Saccharomyces cerevisiae S288C: one gene and its partners. The protein of the gene in region 2 purifies or fractionates together with the protein of the main gene of each other region. This does not show direct contact. Each region holds a gene or a part of one and is shown on either strand. Other genes may lie near its edges.

What was found.
Region 1: the proteins of ESF1 (region 2) and UTP9 purify together in Saccharomyces cerevisiae (affinity purification with mass spectrometry, with the first as the bait; 2 studies listed by BioGRID). This does not show direct contact.
Region 3: the proteins of ESF1 (region 2) and ENP2 purify together in Saccharomyces cerevisiae (affinity purification with mass spectrometry, with the first as the bait; 3 studies listed by BioGRID). This does not show direct contact.

What each region holds. Positions count from the first base shown.
Region 1 is NC_001140.6:489,959-494,158, reverse strand, and holds UTP9 (Utp9p), read right to left. Parts: upstream 2,229-4,200; coding exon 501-2,228; downstream 1-500. Other genes in the region: RIX1 (Rix1p), read right to left, coding at 1-263; NVJ1 (Nvj1p), read right to left, coding at 2,447-3,412; MDM31 (Mdm31p), read right to left, coding at 3,763-4,200. UniProt on the Saccharomyces cerevisiae protein: Involved in nucleolar processing of pre-18S ribosomal RNA. Required for optimal pre-ribosomal RNA transcription by RNA polymerase I together with a subset of U3 proteins required for transcription (t-UTPs).
Region 2 is NC_001136.10:1,203,134-1,209,346, reverse strand, and holds ESF1 (pre-rRNA-processing protein ESF1), read left to right. Parts: upstream 1-2,963; coding exon 2,964-4,850; downstream 4,851-6,213. Other genes in the region: YDR365W-A (gag protein), read right to left, coding at 1,028-2,350; CDC40 (Cdc40p), read left to right, coding at 5,137-6,213. UniProt on the Saccharomyces cerevisiae protein: Involved in the 18S rRNA synthesis. Required for the early cleavages at sites A0, A1 and A2.
Region 3 is NC_001139.9:779,062-785,539, reverse strand, and holds ENP2 (ribosome biosynthesis protein ENP2), read right to left. Parts: upstream 3,774-6,478; coding exon 1,650-3,773; downstream 1-1,649. Other genes in the region: YGR146C-A (uncharacterized protein), read left to right, coding at 103-264; ECL1 (Ecl1p), read left to right, coding at 682-1,317; THI4 (thiamine thiazole synthase), read right to left, coding at 4,161-5,141. UniProt on the Saccharomyces cerevisiae protein: May be involved in rRNA-processing and ribosome biosynthesis.

The DNA of each region.
Region 1 (4,200 bases), on a different chromosome or scaffold from region 2:
TGACCTCCATGAGTCGATAAGACCAGTGGATTATAGGCGCAAGTCACAACAGAGGTGTGACATCCTTTCCAAAGATCAAAGTCATTGCCTGATCTGATAAGTTTTAGGATTTTTGTAACAAGGAAGCTCAATTCGGATTTTAGCAGCTGTTCATTGATATAAACTGGTGATCTTAAAGTCGCCAAAATGGTATGAAACTCATTACCCTTGGCAATTTCCAGGTTTCTAGCCAAAGTAGAAACTGCGATAAATTCCTCTGACATGCTCAAATTTTGTCTATACTTAGTTTGATAACTGGAAAACCACAAAAATTGAATAGTAGTATTGCATCTATTTTTTACTACATTTTATTATAGTTTAATATTGAAAAATTTTCTTGCGATGACCCGTCTCAAATGATGAAGACAACGTAATCTTTTGAAAATTAATAGCTGCATCAATCAGTGCTTCTCATGTGAAACTTTTCTTTGTATATACTTAAATATATTTAAAATGCTTGATCAATCTTTGTATTCCGATGCGTCGACAAATTCGTCACTTTCTCCATTTGCATAAACAATTGAATCTGGTTCAAGCTTTTCAACAGGCGATGCTTGATCCTGCAAAGGATTACTAATTACATTTGAATGCTCTATAACTTCTATTTCATCATCTTCACCCTCTTGCATAGATAGTTGTGCAAGATCCTCTCTCAATTTTGCTTGCCTCCTCAACATTTCTAATCTACCTTGTATACCGAGTAGAACAGGCAAGATCTCCTCTGAAGATCTTAATGCAGATTTTAAATGCTTGCAATTTTTCTTTGTATGTTTATCCTTTATAGAATTTAACTCCCCACTTTTCAAAGTCAGCAACCACTTAAGCCACAACGGAAGTAAATTTTCTTCATTCCATGGATTTTGTGTTATTGACTTTGATATAGTCAAAAATATCTTACTTAGATGATCTACTGTATTGATCTTGGTTAAGATGAATTTTTTAATCTCTGGTTCTGTCCAACTTCCAGACATCAGATCATCCAATATTTCTGTTGAATTAGCTTCTAAATGCGATGAGAGAATATTAGCAATTTCAACTTGATCTGATTTACTAACTTTCTTGTTTATCTTAGTTTCAGTCTCCTTCTTCTCATGTTGAACTTCAGGCTGAGCTTCTTCTTCTTTCTCTTCTAATTTCTTTTGGTCCGCTTCATCAGCATTATTTTTTTCATTTTTGTTTATTGTAATATACCCCTGAGTTTCAATTTCTTTTAAAGAAATAGATTCAAAGTTGGGTTCATTGACATTTAGCCATGAAATTAGAACCTGTTGCTTGCTGTTTATTGGCGTGAAATCTATAATTTCCAAATCTTCATTTACAACTATAGAACAAACTTTGTCGGCTTCGCCAATCTTATAATTATTAATTTTACCATCAGTAGTCAAAGCCATTATCAAATCATCTAAAGTTTTCAATGTCTTCACTTGGACAGGCCATGATTGGATCAGCTTTGAATCTTCCTTCAAGTCGTAAGCTATTAATTCTTCGTTGTTGGCAATTAACAGATACTTACCGTCTGAAGAAAATTCACATGCTACAGCGTCTGATATTTCAAAACTATACTTAGTAGAGGGTCTTCTCTTTGATGGATCAACAATATAAACCATCTGTTTAGTAATAATGCATACCAATAAAGTGCCATTTTGGTGCAAAATTTGGAAATGAACTATTTCGTCATCTTTACCATCAACTAGCGTAAAAGTCTTTAGAGGTTTCGAATTGTTATACTGTAATTTCTTAACGACTTTATCACTATCCAAAATCCATATATCAGACTCGTCTGTGTCTGCTCCCAAAATCTCTTTTTTATTCTTGATGATATTAACTATATCCTTACCATTAGAAGAGTAAACAACAATTCTTCCGTCAGGAAATCCGTTAACGAAAAAGTTTTCACATCTTTGCTCACTTGATTCACCAGTTCCTTCATCTTCATCTAATTTTCTTTTGATATTGGATGACTGCGTATCTATCAAATCACTACACCACCCAAAGAAGATTACATCTGAAACCTTCATATCGTTTGTCTCATAGTCAATATGACTCACTAATGAACTATTGACCACATAATCCTTAGTTTCATTTAATGGATAAATATCCACATTGTTCTTTTGTGCGACGCTTGCTTGGAATGCAAAACGAGTGGAATCATGCGAGAAGCTCGCCACCAAATCCAAAGAGGAGCCCATTGTGCACTACGGTATGTATATACGTGGAGAATGCCCGGCGTTATATATTGCAACGGAGTACTAATATGTATTTCAACTACATAAAGTTACTTGAAAACTCCATCTCATCGTTAAATTTTTCAAAATTTTTCATGTTTTCTTCTCACCTTTAGAAGAAAAAAATTTTCGCACCTCGTTGTAAGTGACGATGATAACCGAGATGACGGAAATATAGTACATTAGTATCTAAATGGTTGAGAGTATGCTTGTTCAGTGTTCACTTGTGCATCTAGATTACTAGATTTTGTGGGAGATACTTGTATATGCAACAATGATGAAGGCTGGTTTAACGACTTAAGGTCTATCGAGCCCTTGAATGATATGGGGAATGATGTACTTGATTTAAGGGAAGAGGTTGTTCTGGTATCCCGTGAGAGAGAGTCAGGCTCTGCAGTACTTTCCTTTCGGCATTTACTCTGCGACTCAACTTCTGAACTGGAGCTGCAATCCTTTTCCCGGTTATTATCATCCTCACCGTCTGCTTCTCCATTCGGTTCATTTTTGTCTTCTTCCAATTGCTTTTCCAGGTGACAACCTAACAAATCTTCACTCCCTACTTGGTTTAGTGCATTTTCGCTCTTGCTTGTCAAATGGCTGTTACTGTGTTCCTCTTTGGAGGTAAACTCATGTTCCCCTTCCAAAACGTTCATGTCCTTATAGCTTAATATAATAGGTTCGGATCTATTTTTACCAAATTGCAATACTGCTCTTTCACCATCGTTGTAATGCTTCAGCCTCCTTTCGTTTTCAATAAGATCTACATTACAATCGTTATCCTTATCTTCTAGCGTGGTCTCGCGATCACCGTCCAGTACAGTCCACGCGATAGGTAGTAGAAAGGATAGGAGTAGTATAAGAACGTATATTCGTGTGTCCAATTCGCTGGATTGTCTGGAAATGAAATTAAATACTTTACGCCAGCTCAGTTCACCAGCGTCGGGTTGTTCCGCAGTTAAAGCCTCACGCTTATTATCTACCAAGTTTTTCAACCTATCTATAGTGAAAATTAACTCATAGTCCACTTTCTGGGGCTCTATCCATCCCTGTCTTTCCAAATGCTTACGAACTGTTTTTTCAACACCTTTCAAAACGGCTACAGAAAGACCTAACGAAAAGATTCCACGAACCAATGGGGGACGAGTCATGCTTATTATATTTTACAATTATATTTGTAGCTTTTTTGATATTATGCACACACGCAAACGCAACAGTTGTTGGTTCCAATTTTTGTTTGGTTTAATTCCTTCTCTTCCCACACACTCTCTCACTCACAAAAATCTGGACAGAAGAAGCCTCACCTTTTTGTTTTGCAGCTCCTCTTCCCCTTCTCTCCTTCATAAGGGGGTGGGTCCTGATATTTTTCGTCTATTTTTTTTCAAATAGGATTTTCCGCAGTGTAGAAAGAAGAAAGATGCGTCACAAATTAGATAAACTGATAGAAAGAACGATGCTATGTAAATGCATATGTACAGAAAGTGACAGGAGTAGGTATTCCTCACGCGATAGCACCGAGACTCATCAAAATCACCTGGAGTATAAGTTGCAGTGACCAAAAGCCCACCCTTCTCAAGCGTAATGTCCTCTTTTCATCGTCAGCGACGTAGTCGGCGAAGGCATCGTACGCTTCCGCACTTAGATCCCGCATAAGGTATGAATCATATATGGTCCAGGAGCCCTCAAAATCAGACTTTTTCTTTACAATGCGGCATTTGATTGGGATGTATGTCCTGTGAGAATTGATGTACCCGACAATAGGCCTTATCAATGCACTATTGATATACGTTAAGCCAGAAGTGAACAGAGGGACTTCGGCTTTGACATTGTATAGTCTTAAAGAAAAGTCCATAATAAAGTAGTCGTTCGGGTCAATTTCATCAACGGCCGGGGAGAATCCTGGCCCAACCAGAGGAAGGGATGAAGTGTACCTTTTCGC
Region 2 (6,213 bases):
ACGGCAGTCATCTAATAAGGTACGGTTTAGCCGTTCAGCGACTCCATGTGCTCGGGAATCCGCTGTGGTTGTATAGCATGGAGTTATACCATTTTTTTCAAGGAATTTATGGAGAGTTCTGTTAGTATACTCAGAACCACGGTCCATTTGTATAACCAAGACACTGGCCTGAAACTGGTTCTTAATAAAAGCTAGTATCGTAGTAAAAACATCGAGGATAGAGTCCTCGCGACGGTCGTGTAATGGATAAACCCAACGGAATTTTGTTGTCTCATCAGTAAATGAGATGAAATAGGATGGTGCACTATTTGGTAGGTTGTGAACTGGACCAAATATGTCAGTATGTAGGTATTGAAAGGGTTCGTATGAATTTTGGTATTTTAGTCGTGAACCTTTGATATGTCTGTGTTTGGTGCTTTTGCCGATTAAACAATCAGGACATTGATAGTCAATAGCACTAGACCAGTCGACATCTGATTCGTTAAAATACGTGATGGTGTTATTTTTAAGTGAGTATCGAATTGTCTGTGCATTGGCATGCGCAAGCATTCGATGAATGAAAGGATAAGGATATTTGCGTGTACTTTCACTTGTATGGACATTATTGATGGTGGGTACGGAGATATTTGATGGAAGCAAGTACCTTTTAGATACCCAGTAAAAGTCTCCATATTGTACGATAGGTGCAAGTACAGTGCCGTCAGATCGTTCTAAGACGTTTTTGGTAAAGCATGCTGTGATATCTACTGCAGCCAATTCATTCAAACTGAGTAAGTCATAGGCTATGTTAGGAGTGTGCAATACCTTTATTGATGTTTTGGTGTTGTCCTGGAAGTGAAATTGTAGGTCACCAATAGCGTTAATTGGTATATTTCTTTTTTGAGCATCAACTACGTTTATGTCAGGATTAGATGATGCTGAGTGTATGTGATGAGCAGATCTTATAAGGGTTCGTGATGCTCCTGAATCGAGAAGGAGGTGTCCAGGGAGTTCATCATCAGAATGATTAGTGTGATTTACCGTAGATTCAGTAAGTTCCTGGCCTAAGGTGAAGGTCGTGCTTATTGTTCAATTGAATCGGTTCAGTAGTTGATTTACTGATGGAATCGTTGTCCGTGCTGGGAGAGTTATTAGATGTGGATACATTGTGAGCCCTGGCTGTTTTCGATTTCGAATTATTTGTTTTTTGAGGATTCCGAGCTATAACTTTGGGTTTGGTTGTATTCGTATAGCTGCGAGAATCATTCTTCTCATCACTCAGATTTCTCCTGTAATTAGGTTTGCTGTTTCTCGATCCCTGTTGTTCTTCATAAATAGCATGGATATCTAAGAACAGTTCAGCGACTGTCATATTTAGATGTCGATGACGTGTGTAGCGTAAAAATTTATATTCGCCAGATAGACCTCTCATAATTAATTGGCATGCGACCTTGTTATTGATATGAATGCCATTATTGTTCAGTCTGTCGATAATGTTTGTGACTTTTGTTTCAAATGCATCTGCAGGTGTACTGCCATTATATTGCAAATTTGCCAGGGTCACAATGTCGTTTGCCTCTTGGGTATCAGATTGCATTTTTTCAATACTTTTGGAAAGAATTTTCATGATATCCGTATAATCAACGGATAGGATGTCTTTGACCCAGGTAGGTAGGAATTGAGAGGGAGCAAATATTTGAAAAGTGTTATACAAGAAGGTGAGTTCATCATCAGTGATCTGACGTACGGGTTTTCCGTTTACTGTCGGAATAATACCACCGAGATTCGAGTTTTGTAAAAATTTGATGTATGTTTTAACCCAATTTGGAAAGTCATTAGGTGAGGTTAACATTGGTGGTGGTCTGACATATTTTTTAGTGGATGTCATATCAGAGTCCGCTGAGGATGAATCAGTAAATGTATTACCTGACTCAGGTGATGGAGTGCTCAGAGGCGTTCCAACTGATGATGGATACTGCGGAAACTGTGATTGTGGCCCAGGTGGAAAGTACATAGGCGACATTTGATAAGGTGTATACGGAATCATAGATGGGTGTCCGTAAAATGACCAACCAGATGGATTGGCTTGGTTTTGGGTCATCATGCACTGCTGTGGGTACGGCCCATTCTGTGGAGGTGGTACTGAAGCAGGTTGAGGAGAGGCATGATGGGGGTTCTCTGGAACAGCTGATGAAGCAGGTGTTGTTGTCTGTTGAGAGTTAGCCTTAGTGGAAGCCTTCTCACATTCTTCTGTTTTGGAAGCTGAAACGTCTAACGGATCTTGATTTGTGTGGACTTCCTTAGAAGTAACCGAAGCACAGGCGCTACCATGAGAAATGGGTGAATGTTGAGATAATTGTTGGGATTCCATTGTTGATAAAGGCTATAATATTAGGTATACAGAATATACTAGAAGTTCTCCTCAAGGATTTAGGAATCCATAAAAGGGAATCTGCAATTCTACACAATTCTATAAATATTATTATCATCATTTTATATGTTTATATTCATTGATCCTATTACATTATCAATCCTTGCGTTTCAGCTTCCACTAATTTAGATGACTATTTCTCATCATTTGCGTCATCTTCTAACACCGTATATGATAATATACTAGTAATGTAAATACTAGTTAGTAGATGATAGTTGATTTCTATTCCAACATGCTTCAACAATCTCGGAAGCATCGCTCAGAAGCGCAAATACAACTCTGTGTCTACTATGCCAAGAGAGGACGATTGAAATCTGCTAATAGCCCTATATCCAAAGATTAGCAATATGAGCCGGGCCAAATATCCCAGATGAGGCTACCGATCATTATTGACGTTCCGAAATTTTTCAGTTACAGAAAAAATTTCATCTCATCTCATCTCAAATTCATCATTAGCATAATGGTACAAATAATAAATATCACATAACTGTGGGTCCGGAATATTTTTCAAGACATTTCAGCGGATCGTATAAGGTTGCAAGAAAAATTGAAGATGGCTGGAGAGAACCCAAAGAAGGAAGGTGTAGATGCTAGGTTTGCCGGGATCTACAGCGATCCTAAATTTAAGAACACGAAAACCAAAGATCATAAGATCAAGTTAGATTCTAGGTTCAGTAAGAAGGATCTGGAGGTCCAGCATAAATCTAAGGTTGACAAGTATGGTAGAAAGATCAAAAATGCGCAGAATAACAGGGAATTGGAAGATTTCGACAAATATTTCGAAAAGGAAGCAGAAAATGATGAAGATTCAGAAGTTAATGCGAAAACAGTAGTGGACCGTGCCCGTGGTGAAGTTCCTGATGATTATGTTAGCTCTTCTGATGAATTCACTTCTTCTGATTCTGAATCGTCCGGAGAAAGTGAAGTTGAAAGCGAAGAAGAAAATGAAGTAGAAATTGAAAATGCCAAACCAGAATCTGGTGACATCTCTAAGAATTTGGCCGTCGTAAATTTAGATTGGGACCATGTTAAATCTGAGGATTTGATGATTACCTTTTCCAGTTTCGTTCCTAAAGGTGGTAAAATTGAAAGAGTTGCTATTTATCCAAGTGAATTTGGTAAAGAAAGAATGCAACGCGAGGAAGTTGAAGGACCTCCAAAGGAACTTTTCCAAAAGAAAAATAAGAACAAAACCTCCAAAAAGAAGAAAACTGATGACTCTGATTCTGATATGGACATCGGTATTAAGGATCTTTATGAAGAGGGAGATGCTGACAAGGACGTGGATTCCAGAGCTTTACGTCAATACCAGTTGGACAGATTAAGATATTATTACGCAATAGTTTATTGTAGTGATACAACCACCTCCAAAGCTATCTATGATAACTGTGATGGTACCGAATATGAGTCAACCGCTAATATGTTCGATTTAAGGTATGTTCCTGATGGTATGACTTTTGATGATGATGTAAGAGATGAATGCAGTATATTGCCTAAGAACTATAGGCCACACCAGTTTAGCACAGATGCTCTACAACATTCAAGCGTCAAATTGACCTGGGATGAAACGCCAGCTGATAGGGTCGAAGTTGCTAAGAGGGCCTTTACCCAAAAGGAAATTGATGATATGGACTTTAAGGCTTACTTGGCGTCAGATAGTGATGAATCGGATGGGCAGGTCGATGAAGAGGCGAAAAATAAACTAAAGTCGTTGGTTGGTGACTTTGGGTTTAATTCCAAGAAAGAAACCCCTAACGATGAAGATGAAGAAGTTGATATGGAAATTACATTTACTCCAGCCTTGGAAGGAGGAAACGAGAAATCGTCGGAAGACAAAGAAGAAACGACTATAGAGAAAATAAGAAGAAAAGAGAAGGAACGTCGTAAAGCAAGAAAGCAGAAAGTAAAGGAATTGAAACAGCAGTCGGAGAAGGATAAGAAAAGCAAGTTGAAATCTGTTAATAAAAAGCATACTAACGATGAAGAGGAGATCGAAAAGAATGCCAAATCAAAGGCTGAATTGGAGCTTTTAATGGATGATGATGATGATACCGAAACTCAGGGCACAATAAATAACAAAGCACATTTCAACATGAACGAAATCTTAAGATCAGAAAAAGAAAAACACAAGAAAGGCCGGTATCAAAAGAAAGAGAGAATTGTTGAAGACACCTTTACACCTGATTTAGAAGATCCTAGATTTAAAGAAGTCTTCGAAGATCACGATTTTGCTATCGACCCGACCCAGCCTGAATTCAAAGGTACACAAGCTATGAGTAAAATCCTAAAAGAACGTAGTAAACGTGTTAAGAATAAGAAAAGAAAACTTGGCGGTAGTGAAAACAATATGACCAATAACGCAGATGATAATGAAGATATTGGTAACTTGGTAAACAAGTTGAAAAAGAAAAGCAAATCATCCAAGAAGGTAAAGGTTTAAAGCAGTCAATGAAATAGTATTTAAATGAAACTTGAATACAAATAGATATGTACAATTATAAAGAATGCATCATTGGATTTGTAGTTGATATCAATTATCGTAATGTTTCTCTGACCGGTTCTTGTAATACCATTTCTTTGAATTTTCTTTTTTGTATTTTGTCTTATTTACGAGGGAGTACTGTGTCCTTGCTAGAGATGAGGTAAAAAAAAAATCTTGAAATTTTTCCTTTATTTTTGGCCAAATAGTGCAACAAACACGGCATGTACTTTGAAGAGCAGATGAAATGGGTTTAGTAGACGGTTATGACACAAGCTCAGACTCTGATTTGAACTTCGACGAAGGCAAATCTGTTCATGAAAAGAAAAATGGTAATTTGCATGAAGATACTTCGTATGAACCTTCTTCAAATAATATTCATAAGAGAAAATCACATTTTACAAAGTCAGAACTAAAAAGAAGACGGAAAACTCGCAAAGGAGATGGGCCGTGGGGCAGTTGGTCAAGTAGTGACGATGAAACTTCACAAGCCAGCGAAACTCAGAAAGAAGATCAGGATATCTTCGTGCACGCGCTGGCTGAGGACAACCTAGATTCGGAACAGATAGAGGTAGAGGAAGTCTCCCATTTTTATGGTAAATCAGAAAAGGACTATCAAGGCAGAGGATATTTATATCCACCAAATGACGTCGATGTTGATCTTCGTGAGGAAAGGATATCCTTTCGGTGTTACTTACCAAAAAAAGTTATACGTAATTATCCGGGGCATCCAGAAGGAACCACTGCCCTGAAATTCTTACCTAAAACTGGACACTTAATTCTCTCTGGTGGTAATGATCATACTATAAAAATTTGGGATTTCTACCATGACTATGAATGCCTACGAGATTTTCAAGGTCATAACAAGCCTATTAAAGCATTACGATTCACCGAAGACTGTCAATCTTTTTTGAGCTCTTCCTTTGATAGAAGCGTTAAAATTTGGGATACTGAAACTGGTAAAGTGAAAACCAGGTTGCACCTTAATTCAACGCCTGCAGATGTTGAATCTCGGCCCACTAACCCACATGAGTTCATTGTAGGTTTATCGAATTCGAAAATATTACATTATGATGATCGTGTTTCAGAAAATCAAGGTCTTGTGCAGACATATGATCATCACCTAAGTAGCATTCTGGCTCTCAAGTATTTTCCCGATGGTTCGAAGTTTATTTCTTCTTCAGAGGATAAGACGGTAAGAATTTGGGAAAATCAGATCAATGTACCAATAAAACAAATAAGTGACACGGCTCAACATTCTATGCCATTTTTAAATGTACATCCGTCTCAGAACTATTTCTGTGCACAAAGCATGGATAATAGA
Region 3 (6,478 bases), on a different chromosome or scaffold from region 2:
CTCGGGTGTATTTGCTACCGTGTTTATTACCGTCATTCATCGCCCCATCTCATCGCTTTTGCGCACCGGGTTCAGATCATTCAATTTTCTTACTTTTTTATTATGGGGTTCCTCCCTGAGTGTAATTTAACGTGTGCTTTCTTATTGCATTCGTTTACATTCCCTATTGCTCATTGCCCTTCTTTCAGTTGGGCATCTTTTTTTTTCACAATTAGGCCGCCCTTTTTTCCCAAATTGGCACTTGTTTGTACGATCTTTAGCTAGAACTTGGAGACCTGAAACGTGGTGATTCTTATATTTAAAGGAATACCGATCTTTTCCGTTTCAACACCCCAATTGTGAGAATTTTATTTCTTGCATTTCGGAAAATTTAGATACATTCACATCCATACTTGGACACATATATATATACAATATAATCATTGACACAGGCCATCGCCATTGAGTAAACTGTCTTTGAACTGTCTAAAGAACTTAGAACTATAGTGTTGTCCCAAGAAGTTAAAAATTGAACACTTGTGAGAATTATAAAACAGAGTAAGCAAAGAAAGAATAGAGAAACAATACTCCGCTACCGATTCTCCTTTTTTTCCTTATAAAAAAAGCTCGAGAATAATTACTTTATTCTTATCCCTCCACTCCTTTCAGGTATTCTTTACCGATTTGCATATCAATCATATAATGAGCACCGCATTCAACGATTACTGCACTGTTTGTGATCGTCTCATTCCAACATCTCCACAGAAAACGAACATTAATACCAGGAAGATCCAAAGGGACAATGAAACCAAGAGCAGTTTACAATCAAATAAGTTATATTGCTCCGAAGATTGTAAGCTGAAGGATTCGAACCCTCTTAATGAGAAATTATTATCCCACTTGCATAAAAAATCAAAAACTTCTCATTCGCATAATCTCACTCCACCGCTTTCATATTCTAAAAATTTAACTGCATCAAACCTCTTCGAGCCGACTACCTCACTATCTTCATCTCCGACATCTTCAACTATCCCCTTTGACGAGTTGGAGAAGCTAGAGTCCTTATTAATTTCACCATTGCTGCTACCTCAGGATGGTATAGTCAATCCTAAGCAGGAGTCTAATCCTTCTCGTGTTGACGAATATGATGAAAATGAACATTATTTGAACTTAGCCGACTCTCTTAGACTCGATTCTAGTTACCAATTGCATTCAAAGGCACATTTGGGTTACGAAAACAACTTGCCACGATCAAACGATCTAATTGATGATCATTTGATCTCAGATCAGATCATTGAGAATAACTACAACCTATGGTTTAGACTATCCTCCAGTTAAACGGCTTCACTTGCTTCGTATCTTCTTCGACTTGCCTTTAACCTACTCATGATTCATGCTTATTTTTTCTTTTTCGATTTCCTTTTCTAGTCATCCTAAAAAAAAAAAACCTACACATATACATATATACATAGTTCTCTACACATCCTTTTGATAAAGAAAATATGTACGTACATCTGCATTAAAAAAAAAAAACAAAACCCTCAATATTTGGGGAAAGAATTCTATAATGTAAACTGTATCACGCATACTTTTTGCTGTCTTCGTCTTCATACATATAATATTTTTAGTTTAAGGTGAAAGGATAATTAAAATATCAATTTCTAATATAACTACATACCACGGAACGCATTTTTGCTAGCTCTTCTTCTATTTTCGAATCTGGGCTTCGACCTACCATTGTCCTTCTTATTACCATTTTCGTCAATACCTTCTTCATCCGATGAATTATCATGACGCCTGGATTTATAATTTCCGTCTTTTTTGCTTTTTCTTTGAGGAATAAAAGTAAGTTCTGCTTCACCGCGTTGGTTACGACGTAAAATGGATTCATTTGATTTCTTTCCATTTTCCACCTCAAGCAATTCGCCTACTTGTTCGCCAAATGTAACGTGAGCACTTTCGTCTCTTTGCGTACTCGTGGAAGTGCCGGCTTTCATTTCGTTCATAAAACGTTCGCTTTGCTCCTTTTCCTTCTTTCTGCGTTCAATTAGTGCCTTTTGCTTTTCCATCTTTCTCAAATCTTTTTCACTTAATTCTTCCTTATTTGACTTTTGGTTCGTTTCATCATCAGATTCTTCTTCATCAGACTCTTCATCCTCGTAGTCATAGTGACCTCTGCCATCCTTCATTGCAATTCTTTCTTCGTCGGACTCTTCGGCAGCAGTTAGCGCCCTAATACGTTTAGCAGCACCTTCTTCGGTTTCTTTGATGGATTTTACTGGATTCAATTGTTTGAAATCATAGTCATCTTCATCGACTTGAAATTCTTCATCCTCAAACATTTCTTTGAAACGGTCATCCGTAAGAACCTTTCCTGCAACTTTATCACCACGTTTTTGAGATAGTTTATCAACCAATGTTTTATTGACTTTAATTTTAGGTTTTTGAACAGCCCCTGAACTTCTGATTCTGGATTCTCTTTCTTTCTCAATTCTACGTCTAATTTCTCTTTCTCTTTCATCTTTGTAGGCATCTGGATTAGCAATTAATGAAACCTTATCGTAAAGTTCAGTGTTAATAAAGAAACCATGCATGTATGCTCTTAATACTCTGGATCCCACCAAGTGCGTTAAATTCAATTTTTTAACGTCGTCTCTAGTAATGAACCTGTAGTTAGAGTAAACAGTGTCACTTGGTTTTTCTTCTAATTCTTCTGTGATAGAATCCAAGAATGAGCACCAGCGTGGAGATGGTCCTAAACTTGGAATATAATATGTATGCATGGGAATACTTTCGTTAGCGGTGAAAAACATACCTGTACCTGGTACATGCTCAATGTCGTTAATATCAACACTAGGCTCCATAGAAGCGTATGCCTTACCATCTAGTCTATCCCATATTTTTGCAATTCTCTTGTCACATGTAACAATTTTATTTTCCGTGCCGACGTTATCCAACCAAATAATTTTCTTAATGTCAAACCCATAACCTTGGTCTTTAATAATGGAAGGTTCAGAAGTACGCAAGTCATAAATGTATGAATAACCGTTCGACGTACCACATGCAAAAGTTAACCCGTCATTACGGAAACTGGTTGTGGTGACTTGGAATGGTCTGTTGTCAATATTGTTCTCTAAATATAGCTTTGAAACACGGGAACGCGACCTTGGATCCCAGAATTCCACTACATTTGTTTCCGTGCCTGCCGCTAACAACCCATTTACTTCATTGATAGAAACATGGTTCACGCCTTCAGTATCCAACTTGAATGGGTTTAAAAATCTCCCCTTTTCCAAGTTCAACCTGTATAACTCATTACCGCTCGCACCAACATATAAATCACAGTTTACCTTATTGTAAACTAAACTTCTCCCAAATTTAGGAATTCTTGTGGTGTAATGTAGACCACCTTTGTTTTGGAATTGAATACTTCTATCATTTTGTAAATGTACACTTTTAGTCCAATCGTCAGAGAGAATAGTGAAATCCACGTTTTCAGCATCTGTGTGTCTATCGAACTTCAGTGACAAATTAGCAAAATCGTAGACATGGATCTGAGGTTTGTATGTACCGGTAGCCATGCAATATTGCCCATCTCTACTCACTTTAATCTTATTGGAGGCTTCGCTAAATTCAAAATCTTGAATCAGTTCTACTCTATTTTGATATTCTAAATCATTCTTTAATTGCCTTTTGCGCTTTTTCGCAATCCAGTCTGGAAGTGATCTTGAAACGTTTGTACCAGAAACCTGATATACTGAAACATCATTTGCGGAAGTAGATTTCAAAACCATAATGTCCCCTTTTTGAAGATATATGTTGATACCTGTAACTGATGTAATAAATGATGTGTTACTGATTACAGCCGATGAGATGAGATGAGCTTAGCTCAAAATTTTCAATTTTTTTTTTTCTTAATTTTTTTTAAGATCATATTTGGTTACCCGACCATGAAGTGACATTTGAAGAATTGATTTATATTTTTAATATTGCAAGATGTGCGAAAACTCACCATTACAGAGATAACTAAAAGTCTTATCTCATCACTATCGGATCTTTCCACTTAGTATTTTCTACGGTTAATTTAAAAATCAATAATAAAACAAAATCATCAGCGAAAATTGTGTATATAGCGTGTATAAAAAATATATAAATCTTTAAAAGCATACCTCATTAAAAGCCTAAGCAGCAAAGTGTTTCAAAATTTGCTCAGCAGCATGAACACCACTCAAAGCCATAGCTCCAAAAGTTGGACCCATACGGTTTAATCCATCCAGTTCAGCAACTTCCATACCAGCAAAGTACATGTTGTCAACACCGGCGTATGCACCAGAGTGAATAACGACATCGTGTTCGGCATGGTTCATGTCCAGACCCTTCATACCGCCCAATTTTTGGTTTTGATCAATGTCGACGATTCTCTTGGCGCAGAAAGCACCAAATGGACCATCATGACCGGTAGTGGATAAAATGACACCATGCTTTTGACTCAAGTCACGAGTTCCGTCATTTTTGTAACCTGCCAATTCAATTACGTTAGGGTCCATGCAACATTGAGTACCGTGAGCTTGGGTAACTAACGTCCAGTTGGTGACAACACCAGCAACGGTGACTTCGCCCTTTTCGGTAGGTGGTCTGGTAACCAAATCTTCAACACAGGTAGCATTGAACAGTTTAACATTTGGTAATTGCAAGACCTTTGAAAGGACAGTAGAGATGAACAAAGCGGCATGCTTAACGACAACATAGTCACCTTCGTCTTCGTAAGGGATTTCCAACTCTTGTAAGAACAAATGAGCTGGTTTTCTCATAACCATGGCACTAAATAATTGACCACCCAACCAACTACCACCACCTGGTGCAACTGAACTTTCGATAATACAAACCTTCAAGTCTGGTCTGTTCTTGGCGATGACGTAAGCGGCGGATAAACCTGAAGAGCCCGCACCGACAATAATCACGTCAGAAACGGCAAACTTGTCAAGATCCTTGAAATAACGAGAAGTCATAGCACGAGAGACAGTGGATTCGCGGATGGGAGCAAATTTAAAGTCAGACCAATCTTCTTTCTTAACGATGTCAGATAAGCAGTGAGTAACTGGAGTAGAGTTTAAGTGCAATTGAGAGGCACTTGTGGAAGTAGCAGTAGAGGTAGCAGACATTTTGATAGTTAGTTGATTTTTTTGGTTGTGATTTATTATTTCTAGATGATAAGAAAGAGAACATAAAAGATATTTCCCGACTACTTAATACACAATTTATTCCAATATTTATATATCTGGGTAGTTCATAAATTGAAAATCAAAAAATCAATTTCATGATCCATTTCTATTAGTGCTCGTAAAAAAATTTACGATTGAACTTGGTAACTGATAGAATACCAGATTCTTTACTATCAATTATGTATGTTTTTTAACGTGCATAATTATTAAAAGACCATTTGATTTTAAAAATGACGTTAGGAGATCGGACATTTTATGAAAACTTCAGAAAAAGGGCTTAAAGTAGAGTATCGTTTTGGACGTCTACAGGAAAATGGGGTGGTAAATGTTCTTGGCGTAAAAAAAAACTATTCACTAAAGCAATTGAGTGCCGATCCCTGTTGAGGAATGCTCATAAAGAGAAAGTATCAGAATTATTCCCCGCCGTAAATTTGTAAAAAAAGGGTAAAAAACGGTTAATCCTGAAGGGGCTTGGAAAGCTCGCCAGCTTCTTGTAATTCTTGACGCCACATATAGCAATCACTAACGAAGAAGTTGACTTTTTAGGGGGTTGATAAGCATTTTTCCCACCCATTTGCATCAGTTAATGTCAATTCAGTCATGATTTGCAAGATATTAGGAGAAAAAGTATGAAAATTAAAAAAGTAATCTTGAGCGGTACGAGAATCGAACCCGTGTCCCCACCTTGGAAGGGTGGGATGATAACCACTACACTAACCGCCCGGGGTTAACTTGAAAGCTCTAAAAGCTCGTTTTCCATATATAGGCATGTTACAATTCCTTTCCATTCTTTCCATTTTATCCATTATCTGATGCATTTCCCTGATAGAATAAGAACAAACTACCATCCATCGATTAGTATTCATGTCACTAGTATATTAATTATCATTTATGATGTAAAAAGAGGACATAAAAGTTATAGAACAGTCATTAGGTTTAATAAAAGCTTAAATAAGAGGATCGATGAAATAGTAGGATAGTGAAACATATAAAATGGAAAAGAAATAATAATACTATTAGGTAGATATATTGATTCCCTTTGGATTCCTGTATCTTGCAGAAGAACTTTCAACATTTTTTCTATACGCAATATCGTAGCCTGTAACAATAATTGTTGGGATTCCATTATTGATAAAGCAATAATGTTAGGTATGTAGGATATACTAGAATTTCTACTCGAGGGTATAGGAATCCTCAAAATAGAATCGAAATTTCTACATAATAATTGAAGAGAGTGTGGGTTCTGATGTAATTGTTGGGATTCCATTGTGATTAAG